Linked DNA regions of Oryzias latipes. Each later gene encodes a partner of the first gene's protein in a complex. Links are inferred from orthologs where the notes say so. Each region holds a gene or a part of one and is shown in the gene's direction. Other genes may lie near its edges.

Region 1 (6,233 bases):
TCAGATCTCTGGTCCAGCATCGTCCCTCCCACTCTGTCTCCATCTCTCCTCTCAGATGTGCGATCTTCTGCAGTGCTACTTCAGCTGAACTGAGCAAGCGGAGGGAGGTGCTCGATTTTCCTCTAACGTAAGGTAAGATTGCTGCTTCCAAAGGAAAGAATAATAGCCTTATGGTTATATCCAGATTGCAAGGATTATTCTAAAACATGTGGCCAAATGGAAATAATAAACAGAAGGAATTTTATAACAATAAGGATTGGTCAATACTAAATGAAATGACATATTTAGGTTGTGACTTTAGTCTTTGCCACAGAACCGTGTGAGAGGAGACAAAACAAAATCAAAGTTGAGACAGTCTGAATCTTGTTTTGACATTTGTTTTGGTCACATAAAGATTAAGTTTTAGATTCAGAGCACATTCATGGCAGTTTCACTATTTTTGTTTTGTTTTTTGCTTTATTGGAGCTATAAATTACCCCTTTCTAATCCACCTGTGCAATAAATAGCTTTGTTTCCCATTTACCCACTTCTATTGTGTGCACTCACTTGCTGTGTCACAACAACAGTTTGTTCTTTATGTTGTTTTCTTCTGTTTTCAGTTGAATGGCCCTTTCTCCATCATGATCAAGTCCCTGTTTGTTTATGGAATGGTGGGAGGTAAGAACACAAAGCTGAAGGTGTCTGAAATAAAATCACACATAAAATCAAGCTTGTTTCTGTATAAATGTTCTTTGTTCTTGTCTCTAGCGCTGCTGTTGCTGCCAGTCCAACCAGATCAGATCTCTGTATGTGTTGAAGATGATGAAGACCTGAGAGTAGACTGTATGATCAAGCCAGCTCCTAACAAAATCAACAGCTATGAGTTTTCATGGTCCTCGGGAACCAAGGAGGTTTTAATCAACACCAATGTGTCTGGGTCTAAAGCCGAGGCTCAGTTTAATGATAAAAGCCAAGTGGTGGAACTGGAGCCTCACGGCTACAGGATGACCCTGTCTGACTTCAAAGACAAGCTCCCACCCAACACCACCTACATGTGCAAAATATATGGGGAAATGAAACAAATCACAGTGGAGAAAGGTGGGTGGACTGAAGAGCTGAAGGGAATGAGTGTTAACCAAAAGCTGGCAGAATTTTTCGATAGATTTTTGGTGTGCTTCAATAATTTCCCTCTTTACAGATTCCCTGGTGCCATGCTCAGCAGTGAGCGTGTTTCTGCAGAGATCCTGGTTCTTGATTGGCTGCCTGGTCTTTTTCCTTCATCACAATGACAGCTGATGGCACTGAGAAGAGAACAGTCAGGCTTTTGCAGATACTCACTAAGCTAAGCACTTTCGCTTCTGTCACAGAATAGATCTCTCTTCCTTCTGTAAAAAACACTGGTAAATGTTTCCACTGTAGACGATTTAAATGTTTAGGAGCTGAGAGCTGTGAGTACTGAATGTAAATTAACCATTAGTAGAAATGAAAGTGCAGCTTTTTCGTCGAGGGAGACAGTCTAATGGCAGACTAAGAGATGCAGTTGCTGACTTATTAATGAGGTATTATTGATTTTATGTTTTCTTTTCTTTTACATTAAAAAGCACTAATAGTTTTTGTGGCCTTTTCCTCACTGCAAAAGCAGCAAATTGATTGTGTTCTTGTTTGCTTGTTAATAAAAGAAGAGCTCTGTGAATTTGCTTGTAATCATTTCATTTATGATTGAACAAATATAATTGTTTTGTGTGTTTGTTTGTTTTTGTTGTTTTTTTTAAATCATAAATCAAAGAACACTGTTGACAGATAAATACCAGTATTTGGAAATGTCACATTTTCTCAATGGAGCCTAAATGCATTGTCATTCATGGAAATCATACTAGACCAGCAGCTGGTTATTACTGTCTTAGATAAACAATAACCCATGACATTTAATCTGTCTCTACATATTGGACATGACATGTAACAGGGACAATATTTAGGTCTTTTTGTCTCTGTTATAAAAAGCAAGTAGTGACGGCCTATATTTTTGAAAAAGTTTTAGTGTAAAAAAAATGATCGACAAATAAAAAAATAAGAACAAGAATTGAAATCGTATGCAAAGAAGAGTAAAGACTTTTACAATTCAAAAACATTGCTCTCCTGTCTTTCTAGGCATCGGTGTATGACCGACTAAATTTGTGGGTCAATTAGGGAAATCAGGCAATTTTAGCCTTTTTGGTGACAGTCATTATTTGTATGCCAGTCACTGGGTCCCACCACAGACACAGTCTTGCAGCAGATTGTGGCCCAGTAGTTATCATTTTTAACTTCTTTGGAGTCAACTTTATCTTCAATGTATTTATTTATGCATAACAGTAACTTTTTTGTTATAATAATAATAATAATAATAATAATAATAATAATAATAATAATAATAATAATAATAACAATAATAACAATAATAATAATAATAATAATAATAATAATAATAATAATAATAATAATAATAATAATAATAATAATACAGAAACGCGTCTTCTTCCTCGTCGTCTACATTGACCCTTGACGCGACCCGTAGTTTCCCACAATACAAAGATGGCAGCGGTCGGTGGTGGAACCGGACCCGAGCTTTCTAAAGCTGAGTACTTAAAGCGGTATTTATCAGCTGACGACAACCATGGTGCATCTAAAGGAAAAGGCAAGAAGAAACGAAAAAAGCTTCCTGAAACAAGGTGAGTACCGAAATACTGCGCCGTTTGGCTTTCTGTTAGCATCCAAGCTAGTTTCCTTATGCTAAGCTATTTTTGATTTGGAACTTTGTTTCTATGAGTTTAATCGTTTTTATTTTGTGTTACTTCGTTGTTTTTATCTAGACTTAAAATAGTAGACGATGATATTGATTGGAGACAAATGGTCCAACAGCAGCCGGATGTCGAAGAGGATGAAGAGGAAGCTCCGGTGGTGAGTTAGCTAGCAGCCTTGCGTTAGCATTTCCCCCGCAGTACGGTCTACTATGTTTAACTTTTACACGCATGAAAGTCTGATGGCGATATTTGATTTGATGATAATAAAATGTATGTCTTTCTTTTTTGTTAACATTATTGAAATGTAAATCCAGACGTAACACAGGAATTTCATCTGACGTGAGATTGAATTGATCTGCTTTAATGCAGGATAATCGATGCAAGATAGATTTGACACATTGGTTTGAATGAAATATGTGGGAAACTTGCATTGTGTGTGAAGCAGTCAACACAGATGTTTGAACAGAGTAAATAATGATTTGATTTGGTCTATGTTATGTACATTAAAGTTTTAAAGCCAAGGAAACCTAAATTTTGTACTTTGATTTACCTTCTCAGATTGCAGAGTTCATCGATGAGCGGCCAGAAGAGGTGAAACAGATGGAGGCCTTTAGGACCAGTAACAGATGGAAAATAGTTGGGGGTAACTATAAAAGCAGTATATAAATTTGGCTTCTTTTAAATTATGTTGTTTTTCATATTAACTGTGTTGTTCTGTAGCGGATGAAGACGAAGACAAAACAATTGACGAAGAAAATGAGCAGGAGGAGCCTTTAACATCTAAAAAAAGTCGGCATGACTCACCAGAGCTGTCATCGAAAAGTGGGAGACATGGTTCCCCTTTCAAAAAACCAAGACACGACTCTCCAGACATTTCTCCTCCTAGGAGAGGACGCCATGACTCTCCGGATAAATCCCCTCCCAGGAGAGGACGCCATGACTCTCCGGATAAATCCCCTCCCAGGAGAGGACGCCATGACTCTCCGGATAAATCTCCTCCTAGGAGAGGACGCCATGACTCTCCGGATAAATCTCCTCCTAGCAGAGGACGCCATGACTCTCCCAGCAAGTCTCCTTCAAGGCAACATTTAAGGAAGTCTGGGAAAGTTAAAAGTAAAGGTGAGTTTTATTTTACAGTTAAGATTTTCTTTCTTGCTTTTATACAGAACAATGCTCATTTTGCACAAGTCACTGAAAAAGCTGAAAACGGCATACCAATGCCATTTAAGCATTGAATAAGCTTAAAGCTGGAACCTCTTAGATTTTTGGGTTATAGTAGTTACTAAAAATATCAATAGTTATATTGACACAATAAAATGTTTATGTAAAACACATTTATTTTTTTCTATTTCATATTAGGATTACTAGTTTTGCTCTCTGCACTCTAATATATATAGTGCAAACATTCTCTTTGATTCTCAGAGTCTTCTCCCACTAGAAGGAAGCCCAGCTCATCGTTACACGGTAAACCAAGGTCGCCAGATGATCGGCGGTCTCCTTTAGCTCATAAGACTAAGGTTAGGCTGGATTCAGACTCCGATCAATCTCCTCCACGGAAAAAGCAATCGAAGCGAGAAGCTTCCGACTCTGACCAGTCTCCCCCTCGGAGACGCTCCAGAACAAGGCAGAGATCCGATTCCGACCAGTCTCCACCAAGAAAGCACTCGAGGAGTGGAAAGGACTCGGATGGAGATCTGTCACCACCACGGAGACCTGGCCAGTCTCATGTGAGGGATCTGCGCTGTTCAGGGATTCGTGTGAAACCTAATTTGCAGCACAAACCCCATCTAATATTTTTGTGTGTTTTTCAGGACCACAGGATGCTTTCCGGAGGAAAGGCTGGTTTGGTATCTGTGGAGATTCTAAGGGAAGAGCAAAAGGAAAACCGACGCAGAGAAAAAAAGAATCAACCTCTTGAAGGTTGGCCTTGCTTTTGTTTTTCAGTTTTACTTTTAAAAAAAAAGAGAGTTTGAAACAACCCTTTTCTTATCGTATAACTTTAGACTTTCTATATTTCTGAAGTACCGGTATATGAAAGTGTTTTTATACTATTTATACTATTTACGCATCAGATGAATCTCGTAATGCGGAGACGGTCTTCCGAGACAAAAGTGGCAAAAGGAGGGATTTGACCTCAGAAAGGGAGGAGCAGAAGAGAAAAGCAGGAGAAAAGGCTGCAAAAGATGAAAAATATGCCCAGTGGGGTAAAGGGTAAATCCACAAAACCATACCAAGTCACTGAAAATGCTACTTCCACCACATGTAAGAAGACAAGTTATTGTTTGTGTTTAGGCTGGCTCAGAATCAGATGGAGCAGCAGAAGCTGGAGGACGCCCTGCTGGAAGCCCAGAAGCCCTTGGCCCGTCACCGTGACGACGAAGATCTGGACCGCATGTTGAGGGAGCAGGAGAGGGACGGGGATCCCATGGCTGCCATGCTTCGGCGGAAAAAGGAAAAAAGCTCAAAAACACAAGGTTTGAAACATTCTACAAGTTTTTGTACTTTTTTTTTTTTTTTTACTCTTCTGATGGAAAAATTTGGGCATTAGTACTTCAAGTACAGCAAATATCTCAGTTGCAGTTTTACATGATTCATTTAAAATTTTCTTACTGTTTCCAGACAAACCTCGCTACAATGGACCTACGCCACCCCCAAACCGTTTCAACATTCCTCCCGGTTACCGTTGGGATGGAGTGGACAGGTACAGTTGAAGAAAAACCTCATGGGATGCTGCTTGTCAACTTTTCAGCTCTTCTGCAATGTTTTAGTTTTGCAGTTGTGATGATCACAGTTTTAGGTATTTTCACTATGTAGCAGTGGTCCCCAGTTCCCGAGACGCGGACTGTATCCATTCATGGGGTCACTTAGTACCAGGCTGCAGACAAAAAAATTACATATAGTAACTTAGATTATTTCCTTTTTTTATTTTTTATTCTGAAAGTAGTTTTATTTTGGAAAACTACTTGATTCAATTTGCCACATGTGTCTATACTCTTGTTCACTCGCGCATCGAAAATACATCCACTACCTTCTTAAAGCGGCTTCTCCGACCTCTTAATAAAAAGGTAACTAAGTTAATAAGAAAAAACATCTTTGGAAAGTTTTTTTGTGGGAGAGAAAGAAGCCATTGAGAAAATGAAGGAAGAGTTTTTGACTTCAAAGTAAAATCAATTATTTACAGATAAAACCAGGAGTCTTCCTCCAAATATGGATTCATTGCGATAGTTGTTCCCACCTACAAAGCCCACTTTGCATAATATGCGTTGACTGACTCTAAAGTTACACATACGCTGTTAAAAAAGTTGCAAACACAATGGATTCACATTTTGCATTTTGCGTGTAGAAAATGCCAGTTTCATGACAGTTGTGTCATTTCATTTAGTGTTTTTTGTTTGGCACACCTTGAAGATGCGGCTGACGTTGGCACTCAGATGTTAGCCTCCATTTTGGAGTTTAAGTGAAAATTTACATCAC
Region 2 (6,404 bases), on another chromosome or scaffold:
TACTGTTTTCATTGGAGTGGTTCTTTAAGTAAGAAATGTAGCACAAATGTTGCTGCTTTTCTTCTGTAAAATCCTTGTAGTCTCCATTTCTCTATTATGAATGACTGAATAACTGATTTCTAAATCAGCTACATGTTTCGTACCACATTTACTGCAAATGACTAAATCACGTCATTTCGCTTGTAAAATTTTTTTCTCGTTTGCTTCTAATTTCTCAAAGATGTATTTTATTTTTTTTACCATTTTCCCTACTGTGCTTCTGCTGACTGCACATACTTCAGGTTCAAGGTGTTTGCGGGACACATTACAAACTAACATGTTCCAAATCTGAAAAAAGTACACAGTGGGTTTATATTTTTTACTTTCACAATATTTTGCAAATTATTCGTTTATTTTATCATTTAGTCTGTTATAGGAATATTTCAAACTTTGTTTCTCAATTAAATAACTTGATACTTGATTGTAAGATCACAGGTTCAGTTCCCACCTTGGGCAAGACACTGAACCCCACATCTCTCCTGGTGGTTGTGGATTGGTGCCAGTGAGTGTTACTGTACGTGCGAATGGGACTGTGACTGTAAAATGCCTTTAAGGAAGGTAGTAAAGCACTATATTAGTATGTACATATACTGTTTACCATTTTCAATGTGGTCATGGTTGAAGTTTATCTTGTAAACAGACAGCAACATCATACCAAGAGTGTGAAGAAGAGTTTTGTCTTGAAGGGACCCATCTAAAGTCTGGATCAAAATCTCCAACATAACATCTCTGAAGATCCCTAAATCCTTGATAGCTGTGTAATTGTCTTGCTAAATGTGAACAAACAACCGGGAAAAAAAACAAGTTTTTATCTGTGCCACCATTTAACCCTTGTGCTATCCTAGGCAATTTAACATTGGGAGTTGGGTCATCTAGACCCACTAGACAGTGCACTGAACCTTTTTTCTTCAATGATTTGTGATCTTCACTGGTGTCCATGGATTACATGAAATCTTTCCACCTTTATCCACCTTTGTCATGGTAGGGAGAACATGTCAAAGTAAGGGTGGGGTCATCTAAGATAACACAAGGGTTAAAAGAAGATTTGACAAGATTTACTATGGCGATTCATGAAGTAAAATGTCAAAAAGCAAAATGAGAAGTTTTACACACTCCACATGACATACAGCTTTCTTTTGATCCGTGCTATTTGTTGTAACGGCTGTCTGCAACAGCTGAGGAAACGAATGTAGTCTGAGTACAATCTATAGGTGTGCACTTTCCCCTACAAAGTGTTTACCTCTAAGTAAATCCTTTTGCTTGCTTGATCAGCAATTGGATAATTGCCTGGCAACAAAAGCTGACAACCCAGATCAACATCTAAGTGACATGATTCAAAGGCATCAGTGTAAACAGGCCTGTTAGCATCCACCCAAAACAAGTGCTTGTTTGATCTCTGCAAATGTCACTGCTCATGGCTGGACTGGAACTACGTTCAGAGTCAGGTTAGCATGCATTAAACGCCTGAAACCCTCATGGACACGTAAAGTAGATACACATGACCACACGCTGCACAGGTACAGGTGTTTACAGAGTAGCCTGTCTGCTGACGCCAGTCAATGACCCTGTTGCAATGGAAATCAAATGATGGTTCATTTGGTGATGTCTTTTATTATCCCATTATGCTTTGTCTTTCCTCATTAGAAACCTCTTCCAGCGTGAGAAAGCCCCGCATTAAGCAATGTTTATGCGTCTCACTGAAGTGGTAAAAAAGACTAGTCCACATAAATAAACACGCAAGGGTATGTATATGATACGTAAAGTCTGTTCATTCAAAAACTATGTAGAGTAAATGTTTATAGCTCTCTGTGGTCGATGAAAAAAATCCATTTGAATTGATTGAGTCGTTTCATTTTCATAATCTCTTCTTGCTGGGATGTTTTGACAAGCATATGTGCCAGCTATACACGTGTTCGGGATTCAAATCTTTCACATAAAACAAATAAGGAAAAGAGAAAAAACATAGTGAGGAGGATTATGGAAAAAAAACATGCACCACTGCAAGGAATCAATAAAATATTTTTACAAATATCTATCCAGTGTTCCATTATAGTTGATTTTTTCCAATGAGTAATCATCAAATTAAATTCATGTTAATCTAATTCAGGACAAATAAACAAGTCATTTTTTATTGTGTACATTTTTAATCTGTTAACGTTTCATGATTTCTATTTTTGTTTGAAAGTCCAATGTCCTATAATGATTGGTATTCCTGGACCTCTCTGAGGCCTTTTGATGAAAATTAGTTTTTATTTACTATTACTACTACTTCCAATACTACTAAAAAAGAATAATAATAGTACAAAAAATAATAACACTTATTATTATTATTGTTGTTGTTGTTTCTCCTTAACCATCTTTCTGGTAACTGGCTGACTCAAGTGAGTCTACATTCTGTTTGACCTAACACACCTGGTTTAGGTAATCAGAATCAACTACATGTCCCATAATGCACGGCGAAAAGCGCCACAGGAAACAAACGCTTTGTTGGTGCATTGTGGGTAAGCGGAAAAAAGGCTCAAACGCCAAGCTCAACGACTAGCCCACGTTGCTGAGCCGCTAAAAAGAACAACAATTCAAGAATTCAAAGGGAGTTGAAGTAAGACTTTAAACCCTAGCTACTAAAGCTAGCAAGTATTATATTGTGGTTGGTATTTAGCTGTGAATGTGATTCAGAATTATCGCTTTTTGTCTACATTGCCTCCCATTTGCTAAGTTTCGAATATGTCCATCGCTCCATCCATGCCTGATATTTAGCTTGTGTCTAAAATAATTTGCACGTTTGAGTCCCAACAATGTTGGGTGTGAAGCATTAACGTTAAATATATTGTGGTGGTTTACTTCCCACAGTTTTTAATTAATGTTTTGTTTCGCTTGAGGCCAGTAGTTGGTGGCTAGTTAGCTAACGTGGCTAGCTAAGCTAGCCATTAGCGTTACTACGTTTTAAAAGTAATCCCGAACATTTACCTGATTAAACTGTGTAATCCAAAACTGAAGAGTTTTCTGCAGCACTTGATTTCTCTACGTAGAAATAATACCGTCTTGATAAACAGTACAAGAAATAAATCACTAACGAGGTAGCTTAGCTAATGATAATGGAAACATTGTTATACTTAAGTGCCTTTTTTGTACGTTTTTTTTTGTGGGTGTAAATTACCTTATTTACAGCACAAAACAAGTCTTAAGTATGTTCTAACAGTAAATATTACTTCCAAGCCAGACACATGCAAACATAATAATCATAAAATTGGATGAATGAATTGCATGTTGTAGACTTTCAGTAGCCTTCTGTAAACAAAGACAATACCGTACGTCAGGTTTTGTGATAATACTGTATGTTTCAGTGCCCTTTACCGTATGTTTTGTCTTTTTTTTTAATTTAATAGCCTAGAAAGACCGTTTCCAAAATGTCCATTGGCGTACCAATCAAGGTCCTGCATGAAGCAGAGGGACACATTGTGACCTGTGAAACCAACACTGGAGAGGTTTACAGGGGCAAACTGATCGAGGCTGAAGACAACATGAACTGCCAGGTTTGTATGGAGTAACGTCCCCCCCCCAAAAAAAAAAAGCATGCCGTAAATTTCTATTTAGAGTTCAACTCACTGTACCACACTTGAGAAGAACATTTTAAATGTGTAAAGAACACAAGAATGTTTTTTTAATGGACATTTTATTGTTGGCTGCCCCCCCCCCCTTTTATTTCACATACTTTTTGGAAACAAAAATGCCAAAGGTATTTTAATGCAGTTTATTGCACCAACTCTTATTTAGACTTGCACATTTGTTTTTTTTGCTTTCACAGGAATAAGTCTAGAATCTACCAATTATAACAAGCAGGTGATGTAGAACTATTTGAGTAGGTTTGTTGAGAATGTAGTATTTTAGTAAAACAATTGCGGTGAGACAAACTCATGTTATACTTTCTTTCTTTCTTTTTTTTTTTTAAAAAACAGTTGTTCAACATGTTTGTAGCGAAAGACAAATCGGTTACTCCTCTTCGAAGAAAAATCTCTCCCGGTTTCTTTGTCCCTCAAAATCTCAGCCAACCACACGTGTGTAACGTATGATTGATTGATGTAGTGACTTAATTACTCAATGAGATCAATGGTGCTTTTACAGTCAACAAAACATACTCCCTTTTACTAATATGCATCAGGTCAGTGACCTGTAGGGAAAAACAAAAACCATAAATGATTTATCATTACCGTTGGAAGTAAATAGAAACACAGCACTAAGAAACCAAACGGCCCTGTGTGGAAAAAGGAAATTATGTTGGATTATTTTAAAGTTTTGGGACAGGTTGCCTTTATGACCTTTGTTTTTTTGTTGTTTTTTTTGGGTCTCTAGTTTTGGTTGCACATCTGTAACAAACAAATCTGGAATAACAATTTTATTTTATTTTGTAAATTTAAGTTGTGTTCTTTCTATTAACTGACCCAATTCACCCCCCCCCCCTAAAAAAATCTGTATAGTTATCTGGTCATATATGCACATTTGTCCTTGAAATATTTAAAGCCATTTTTCTTAAAGTATTGAGTACTGTAACTAAATATATTTCCCAAACATCCTGTCAATGCTGATAGTCTTTTCAAGCTTCATTAGTGCAGTAAAAGTTTAATAGACTCCAAATCTGTTTATTTCATTTAAAAGCAGAAATTTTGGTGGATAAAGCTCAGTGTGTCTTAAAAGTACTCTAAAGATAAGTGTGAAGGCTTTAACAAAACGCTAAATATTCTAAAACGTATATTCTGTTAATAATTGTAGATTTCTTATTAATCAAATGACAAATCAAAAAGGTTGTTAGAAATTATTTTAAGGGATTAAATGAAGTATCTACAAATGTGTTTTCAAATAGAGAACTGCATTGCCAAGTTTAACAGATAACTTAAAATGTTAACCTGCATTCCATTGAACACTGTAAACGTGTATCAAGCCATTTTACGAATCTAAGACCGGAACCATTTATTTCTATGTCCCAACAGATGTCCAACATCACAGTAACCTATCGTGACGGGCGGGTTGCCCAGCTGGAACAAGTGTACATTCGTGGCAGCAAGATCCGCTTTCTGATCTTACCAGACATGTTAAAGAACGCTCCAATGTTAAAGAGTATGAAGAACAAGAACCAGGGTTCTGGAGCAGGAAGAGGCAAAGCGGCCATTCTGAAAGCACAAGGTGAGTGGTTCCTAACCAATGCTGATAAATGGTGTGTCCACTTTTCCTTATTCTTGGTACACCCTGCTTCCTGAATGCTGTTTTTTTTTTTTTTTTACTGAATTATTTCTGAATTTGTTGTCTCCCTTTGCAGTGGCTGCAAGAGGCAGAGGTCGTGGTGGAATGGGAAGAGGCAACATTTTCCAGAAGAGACGATAGCTTTTCCTTTTCAATGTTTTTATTTTTTCTCATGTCGTTTACTTGAATGACTTGTCTGTTATTTGCAATCTTGTCTTTGCAAGTTAGTTCTTGAATTTTTCTTTTTTTTTTAAACAAAAATAAAAGATGTTTCAAAATGTCTTAAATTAATATCCCTTTTGTCTTGTTTTTATTATTCCTGTACTTGTTTGACATGCTGACTATCTAATTTCTTTTTTATTTAAAAGCAGTACATTTTTCCGTTCAAGGTGCAAGTTAGATTTCTTGAGCAGAATTAGTTTTTAAACTTTTAAAAGTAAAGTAAATTTGGTAGTTTGAAAAAAAAAAACTAGCTTGCTGTTTGCATTTTAGAAATAACTGCAAAAGCTCAAATATATGAATAACGGAGGTAAAAATATTTGGCTTTGCAAATGTCAAATAACTTTTTTTAACTTTTGCATTAAAACGATTTTAAAAAGATTAGAAAGATGCTCTTTATAGCAGTTTTTTCCCTGTGTAAGGTTCAGAACCCTAAAAAAATCTTTGCCTTTAAAAATGTATCCCTAAACAATAACTAAAATAAAAAGCTTCATAAACTTGACCCCCAACCCCCCTTCATAATATCACAAATATAGCCCCAAAATATTTTTAATTCAATCAGTATCCATACGTTTTTTTTAATTCTCCATTTCCTGGAATTCTATTAACGCCAGCAAAAATTTTTTAGATAAAATGCAGATAAAATAGGAAATGTCTGTTTTACTTGACAACACAAGGGGGAGTGTTCCGGCTACCAAAGTATTAGTAGAAAAACCATGAAGTGAATTTTATGGAAGTGGCGAGATAAACGAAAGGGTGAAAAGGCGATTTCGAAAGCCTTAGTGGATTTTCAGTGGATATTCGGCTAAATCTGAAAACACTGTCGCCTTCCCTGGAGCTCAGGACCTGAGCGCTTCAGCTCGCTTCATCCATCATAACATCTGCTACGCCTCCTCAACAGCTAGCTAGCT
Region 3 (6,216 bases), about 10 Mb from region 1:
TCCTTCCCAGCATGCATCCACGCCATCTGAATGCTTTGTAGTTTTACGTCTGGGATCTCAGGGTAGTGTTGTGTATCCAAGGCAACAAGAGTCTCTTCCTCCCTGAGTTCAAACAGCAGCATTGTGTCGTTTATTTTAAAGACACATTCACACTACAATTGTTAGCGCTGCCATGTTCACGGAGTTTCAGAGTTTGTTAGCGTACACACGGCCCTTAAGGGCATCTAAACGTGCTCCATAAGAGCTGCAACAAATAGAAAAGTTCCGCTGGAGGACAGGTTACCATGACAACCGGAGGCTGGTCTCCAGGTAGCGCCGTGACCTTCTGGTAGAAAACGTTGACCACATCATCGTCCCCCGTCTCTCCGCGGACTGGAGCCAGGGTCAAGGTAGACTCAGACTCATGCCTGACGGATGCACTGAGGCGCATGTCCTCCAGAGCAGGGATGCTCCGCCTCTTTTCAGCCGTGGATCCCATTACTGGCTTTGTTTGCCCAAAGCAGCGAGAACAGAGAAGCTGTGGGTCGCTCAGGATGGGAGAAACGTCCAGTTTGAAGGATGTTCCCAGCAAAGACCCCCCCACCCCCAACCCAATTATCTGGTTATGATAAAAACCACCGTTATTATTGAAAACCTTTGGTGGACCGTGCATAACACACCTGGGCCTTCAGCAGTGCTACGTCTGAATCACTCAACCCCTCATGAACCAGCTCAAACTGTCAGCTTGACAGACACAGTGGACACGGGGAGGGTCACGATTCACTCAGATTTTTCTGATGGAGATCAGTGGGAGATTTTCCTGCTAAATCCTCCATGGAGTACATTACAGTCAGTCTGCTATAAACTGAGAGGGAACAGATCATTCTCCATGTCTCTGTGTCAAACTGGACAAGGAAGCATGTGACTTCCTGAAACTTCTGTCCAATCAGAGGGTCTGAATACTGTGACGCTGTCTAAGCCTGCTAGAAGGCCCTGCTGACACCAACTCAAAATCTGATTGGATGAGGGAAATTAATCTCCGACATTGATTTTGCATTAGAGGGCCTGCAGAACAGATAGTGAAGGCCTCTGTAGCTCTGACCCTGCCTGGCAACAAAGGAGAGCTGGAATGTGATTGGTTAAATGTTCCAATGTGAAAATACGTCTGGAAGCAGCATCACCATCATAAACACACTAAAAGAGGAATGGACAGACCATTTGGAATGATTTAATGAGAATGCATGGACGAACTCTAATTAACACATGATTCAGATAATTTTTAGGCCTTCAGAGAAGCCCATCACCATTGAAAATAACAACTTTAAAACACCTGTGTCTGACTGATGCAAAAAATGTACCCCAGATGGGCAAGTACAAGTACCCCTGCTAGAGTAAGTCTGTCCCAAAGGGGAGATCTTTCACTGTATAGCAGAACTGAACTTCAAAGCAGGATGATTTAAACAGAAGCAGGTGAGAGCTGAGAAGGATACAGTCTCTGAAGAGGAGGGGGTCGCCCTTCGAGGACAAGATGAAGAGCTGCCGGATCATCCTGCAGAGGATAGAGGACTGTCGGGGCAACAGTTCACCCCGGTGGGACAGCTAGGGGGAGTTTCAGTGCCACTGCAACATCTGCAGAAACAACATCTGCAGGAACACGTCCAAGTCTGTCTGCAGAACTGCAGTCAAGCCGAAATAAAGGAGAAAACCCCTGTTTATGGGGGAAATGACAAACAAGCAGCATCTCATATTCACTGCATGAAACTAGTTATTATGAGGAAAAAAATAAACTAACAATAAACAATCAGATTGTCTGGTGTGTGCTACTGTAGGTGTGCGTCACACATTAATCTCAAACGTGTTAAAGGTGACACTGAGTAAAGCGGAATAGGGTAAAGACAAGTCGAAGGAAAACTGAATTTACCTGAAAAGATGACACAGTTCAGACGTTTAAACTGAACTTTAAGTGTTTTAAAGCCATGCTAACGTGGAATTACAAATCATTTTCCAGTTCCACGTAAAATCTCCTGCAATGATGTCGACTCTAAGAAAGGGTGTTATTTAAACATTAAAAGCTTGAAAAACACAACACGCTTTAAAACGTCCACTGTCTGGTTTAAGTGTTGCATCCTGTTAAAAATGAACTGTTAGCTTGTTAGCGCCACCTGTCGTGCAGGCGGAAAGATTGGACGCTTGCTTTTTACAGACAGAACATTCAGCATTTCACAATTTCTTACAAAAATAAAATAAATACATTTCTTGTTTATTAAAAGCAGCATTCGGGCAGTGTTAGACGCTTCGCGTTCGCGCAGTTTTCTCGTTCATTTCATCTGTAGTTCGGTCATCCAACCACCAGGCGGCAGCACACGCAGAACCTCCACAGGAAGTGCACCACTTCTCCACGCTTGGTCTTTGGCACCATAACATCGCTGCTGTTCGAGCTCACCATGAAGTAAGTAAACGTTTCCCTCTACAGCCATTACATTAGTTTTTATTTTTCATTTGGTAGAGAATCCCTTTTCTGGTCGTTGGTTTCCTGTTGAGCGGATTCCAGCCGATAGCAGCAGGCTTTATGTTTCGTGTGTGTCGCCTTTTCCCCATTTCCATTCAAATTCTCCACTGTAGAACTTCAAAAACTTCTAAAAACTTCTAAAAAATCAAATTTGATTTTTTTAAACTTAATAGACCAGGTACTGAATAGCCACCTACTGAATTCGTACTTGCGTTTGATTGTATTTGCATTTTAGAGGTGTAACGATTGCATACCAATCAGTGGTTGTTGATGTGATTCAATCATTCGATAATTGTTCGTTTTATCCGATTCAGTGACCTAATGGATCCAGGACATCTTTATCCAAAACATCATCCAGTGTGACTCAGCGAGAAATACCTGCTACTGAAATGTGAAGTTTTCCAGATTCCTTAGATTTCTTCCAAGATAATCAAGTTTAAATTAAATATGTACAAACAAAGAATTAAAATCAAATCCATCCACATTTTAGTTTCCTGAAGTTCAGCCCACTGTTGTTTTTCCACATCCAAAGAATCCAAAGGGAACATTCTAGCACACTGTGTGGTCACATGACTTTCTAAATTCAGTTTTGGACTGGAATGATGGTTGATCAGTTTTTGATGAAATTACATGTTTTTTGTCTGCTGTAATGCACTCTGTTAATTTTGATTGTGTCTGAATTCCTTCAATACTCACTACCTAGGGGGCACTATGTAGTGCACTATATATTGCCCTATATAGTGCACAACATTCACCATGTTGTAGTGCTGTCCGAACCTACAATTTCAAAGTCGAGTGCCCTAGAAATTTCCCAGAAGTCTCTGCGAAAAAGCAGTGTGCATCGAGTGAATATAAACCACAATGCATTGCGTCGAACAGTTTTTGCAATTTTCTTTTTTTATGTTAGGGTGGGAACTTGGGGCACAGCCTTTATGTTATAGTAAAATGACCTCACCAGGTCTCAATCCAAACGGTGGTTTCCAATATCGATTCAATAGGCAGAGCTGAAGGTAGCAGAGATGAAGATGTTGAGGTTCTCTTTGGGAGAGACCAGGATGCATCAGGAATGAGTCCATCAGAGGAGCAGATCATGGTTGATATTTGGGACATGAATGCAGATGGAGATGGTTTGGAGGAGCAGCAGTGATGATGCTGAGGTTACAGAAACCAGGAAAGAGGCCTAGCGGAAGACCACAGAGGAAGTTCATGGATGAAGAGGAGGGCATGAGGGTTGTTGGTGGGGACGATAGAGGAGAGAGCTGGATGATTAATGTAGCAACTAAGAGACAAAGAAGATATGGTTGAAATCTTCATAATGTTCATTATGTTGAGATGGTGCATAAAAAAATAAATTGATGAAACATGAATATTAGAAAGCTGACCTTCAGGTTTATTTCACTTTGTTTAAATGAACAGAATCTTGACTGCTGTCTTCTAAAACACTGAAAGTTTCCTGCCGGTTGATTTGTTTCAGTCCTCTGACGAAGGTGAAGCTGATAAACGAGCTGAACGAGCGCGAGGCCGACCTCGGGGTCAACGAGAAGGTGTCGTGGCACAGCGAGTACCGGGACAGCGCCTGGATCTTTGTGGGTGAGGGGGCGGAGCTTCTCACAGGAACCTGCAGTAAATGAAGCGTGAAAGCAGGTGGTTGACGTCTGTTCTGATCCTGCAGGAGGCTTCCCCTACGAGCTCACAGAGGGGGACCTGCTCTGCGTCTTCTCTCAGTACGTACCCACAGCCTCGCTTTGGGGTGGGGTGGGGGCACACACCGCTTACTGATGTGTCCGTTCAGGTACGGTGAGATCGTCAACGTCAACCTGGTGCGCGACAAGAAGACGGGAAAGTCCAAAGGCTTCTGCTTCATCTGCTACGAGGACCAGCGCAGCACCATCCTGGCTGTGGACAACTTCAATGGCATCAAGGTGAGGCCCCCACCCCCCACCCGGGGCGGCGCCACTGTGAGCATCCTTAATGATGAAGCTCTTTCTCCCCTCCAGATCAAAGGACGCACCATTCGCGTAGACCACGTAAAAAACTACCGCCCCCCCAAAGACGGCGAGGACATCGATGATGTCACCAAACGCTTGAGGGAGGATGGCTGCGCCCCCACGGGCCCTGCCGCCCCCCCGTCCTCCTCTGAGGATGACGAGCAGCTCGTCATACCTGTGAAAAAACCCAAAAAAGGTGAGGTCACTTCCTGTTCTGTCATTTATGAGGGGGAGGGTCAGTTTCACCTGTACTCTTCTGCTGCAGACAAAAAAGAGAAGAAGAAAAAGAAGAAGGAGAAGAAGAAGAGCCGAGCTTCCTCCTCCTCACCTCCCATCCGAGTCAAAGAAGAAAAACGAGACACGGCGTACGACAAGTACGCCACGGGGGGGTCACAGAACGGACACAATGAGACGGAGAGGAGGAGGGAGGAGAAGAGGAGAGACAGAGATGTGGAGAGTAAGAGAGAGACTGAACGAGAGAGGGAGGACAGAAGGAGAGGAGAGAAGAGGAGAGAGGCGGACAAGGAGAGCTCCAGAAGATAGATGGAGGAGTAAAGAGAGGAGAATGATACATTCTCTCCTCAGCAGAAGAGCTCCCCCTGCTGGCTGACATCCTCCTGTAAACAAAGCTTCCATGAGAAGCCTTTTTTTGTACAGATATTTGTAAAGTTTGTCTTAAGTGTTAAAAAACAAGTTTGTCTTCTGGGCGATGATTTAAATAATTGATTTATTAAAAAAAATTCAAACAGCAAATTTGATTCTCTTTTGAAAACGTTTCAGAATTCACTAAAGCTTAAGGAGCATTTAAATAAAGACATTTGGAGAACAGAATTATTTATGTGTATCAAGCCTGAAGGGATCCAGAAAACTTCAGACATTGACTGTTTACAAGAACTGGACTGAGTGACCCCTCCCCCTGGCATTTTACCATTGGTCAGAATGACTATTTGATGCTTTGAACACATTTTGGCTTATCATTTTTTTTTTACTAAATAGTTTTCTCTATTGCAAGTTATAAACTGACCAAATAGATGCATCTGTGAGAGTAGGAGTGCGGCCTGCCAACAAGCTCACTACTGATTGGCTAGGGTGTTCGCCATAGAAATGTTGAATCAGACCAACTCTTACTGACGTCTGACTCCAACATAGTTGGGTCCAGACCGTGAAAAACTGAACCGGCTTCATTTGGTTGGAGCCGGATGTAAGCAGTTTTCTGTGGGTGACATCACACTCACTCGCTCATACCCCTTGTGCTATCTTAGATGACCCCACCCTTACATTGACGTGTTCTCCCTACCATGACAAAGGTGGATAAAGGTGGAAAGATTTCATGTAATCCATGGACACCAGTGAAGATCACAAATCATTGAAGAAAAAAGGTTCAGAGCACCGTCTAGTGGGTCTAGATCAGTGTTTTTCAACCTTTTTTGAGCCACGGCACACTTTAACCTTAAAAAAAAAAATTCCGCGGCACACCAGCATTCAAAAATTAAAAAAAAAGGAGAAACTCAGTCTTTATTGATCTACAGCCCCTCCCTCCACAGTCTCACATGCATTTTTGAGATAATTGTTACAGAAAAAGCTGGAAACTGCAGCTGTTTTTTTTCCTAAAAGATGCAATAAAAGTTAAGTTAGAAGATTTAAAAACAGTTTGATGTGTGTTCGTTGGTTTCAAGACGTTTAACAACAGATCTCCTTGTGCGCTGTCACTCTCACAACCCAATGCATCATGGGAGATGT

What was found.
Region 2: bud13 (region 1) and snrpd3 share a complex: the UniProt entries of both Homo sapiens proteins name them as parts of the minor spliceosome. The link is inferred for Oryzias latipes from reciprocal best matches to the Homo sapiens genes BUD13 and SNRPD3.
Region 3: bud13 (region 1) and rbmx2 share a complex: the UniProt entries of both Homo sapiens proteins name them as parts of the activated spliceosome. The link is inferred for Oryzias latipes from reciprocal best matches to the Homo sapiens genes BUD13 and RBMX2.

What each region holds. Positions count from the first base shown.
Region 1 is NC_019872.2:13,069,127-13,075,359, reverse strand, and holds the start of bud13 (BUD13 homolog), read left to right. Parts: upstream 1-2,521; 5' UTR 2,522-2,550; coding exon 2,551-2,687; intron 2,688-2,828; coding exon 2,829-2,916; intron 2,917-3,317; coding exon 3,318-3,402; intron 3,403-3,479; coding exon 3,480-3,878; intron 3,879-4,181; coding exon 4,182-4,486; intron 4,487-4,570; coding exon 4,571-4,679; intron 4,680-4,831; coding exon 4,832-4,970; intron 4,971-5,051; coding exon 5,052-5,233; intron 5,234-5,378; coding exon 5,379-5,460; intron 5,461-6,233. Other genes in the region: uncharacterized protein LOC101171185, read left to right, coding at 621-657, 748-1,077, 1,178-1,275. UniProt on the Homo sapiens protein: Involved in pre-mRNA splicing as component of the activated spliceosome. As a component of the minor spliceosome, involved in the splicing of U12-type introns in pre-mRNAs.
Region 2 is NC_019870.2:16,127,813-16,134,216, reverse strand, and holds snrpd3 (small nuclear ribonucleoprotein Sm D3), read left to right. Parts: upstream 1-2,508; 5' UTR 2,509-2,638; intron 2,639-3,425; 5' UTR 3,426-3,446; coding exon 3,447-3,572; intron 3,573-5,024; coding exon 5,025-5,217; intron 5,218-5,350; coding exon 5,351-5,415; 3' UTR 5,416-5,562; downstream 5,563-6,404. UniProt on the Homo sapiens protein: Plays a role in pre-mRNA splicing as a core component of the spliceosomal U1, U2, U4 and U5 small nuclear ribonucleoproteins (snRNPs), the building blocks of the spliceosome.
Region 3 is NC_019872.2:23,467,131-23,473,346, forward strand, and holds rbmx2 (RNA-binding motif protein, X-linked 2), read left to right. Parts: upstream 1-2,320; 5' UTR 2,321-2,423; coding exon 2,424-2,428; intron 2,429-3,962; coding exon 3,963-4,078; intron 4,079-4,160; coding exon 4,161-4,212; intron 4,213-4,280; coding exon 4,281-4,410; intron 4,411-4,485; coding exon 4,486-4,672; intron 4,673-4,741; coding exon 4,742-5,019; 3' UTR 5,020-5,229; downstream 5,230-6,216. Other genes in the region: ap4m1 (AP-4 complex subunit mu-1), read right to left, coding at 284-372, 1,470-1,527. UniProt on the Homo sapiens protein: Involved in pre-mRNA splicing as component of the activated spliceosome. As a component of the minor spliceosome, involved in the splicing of U12-type introns in pre-mRNAs.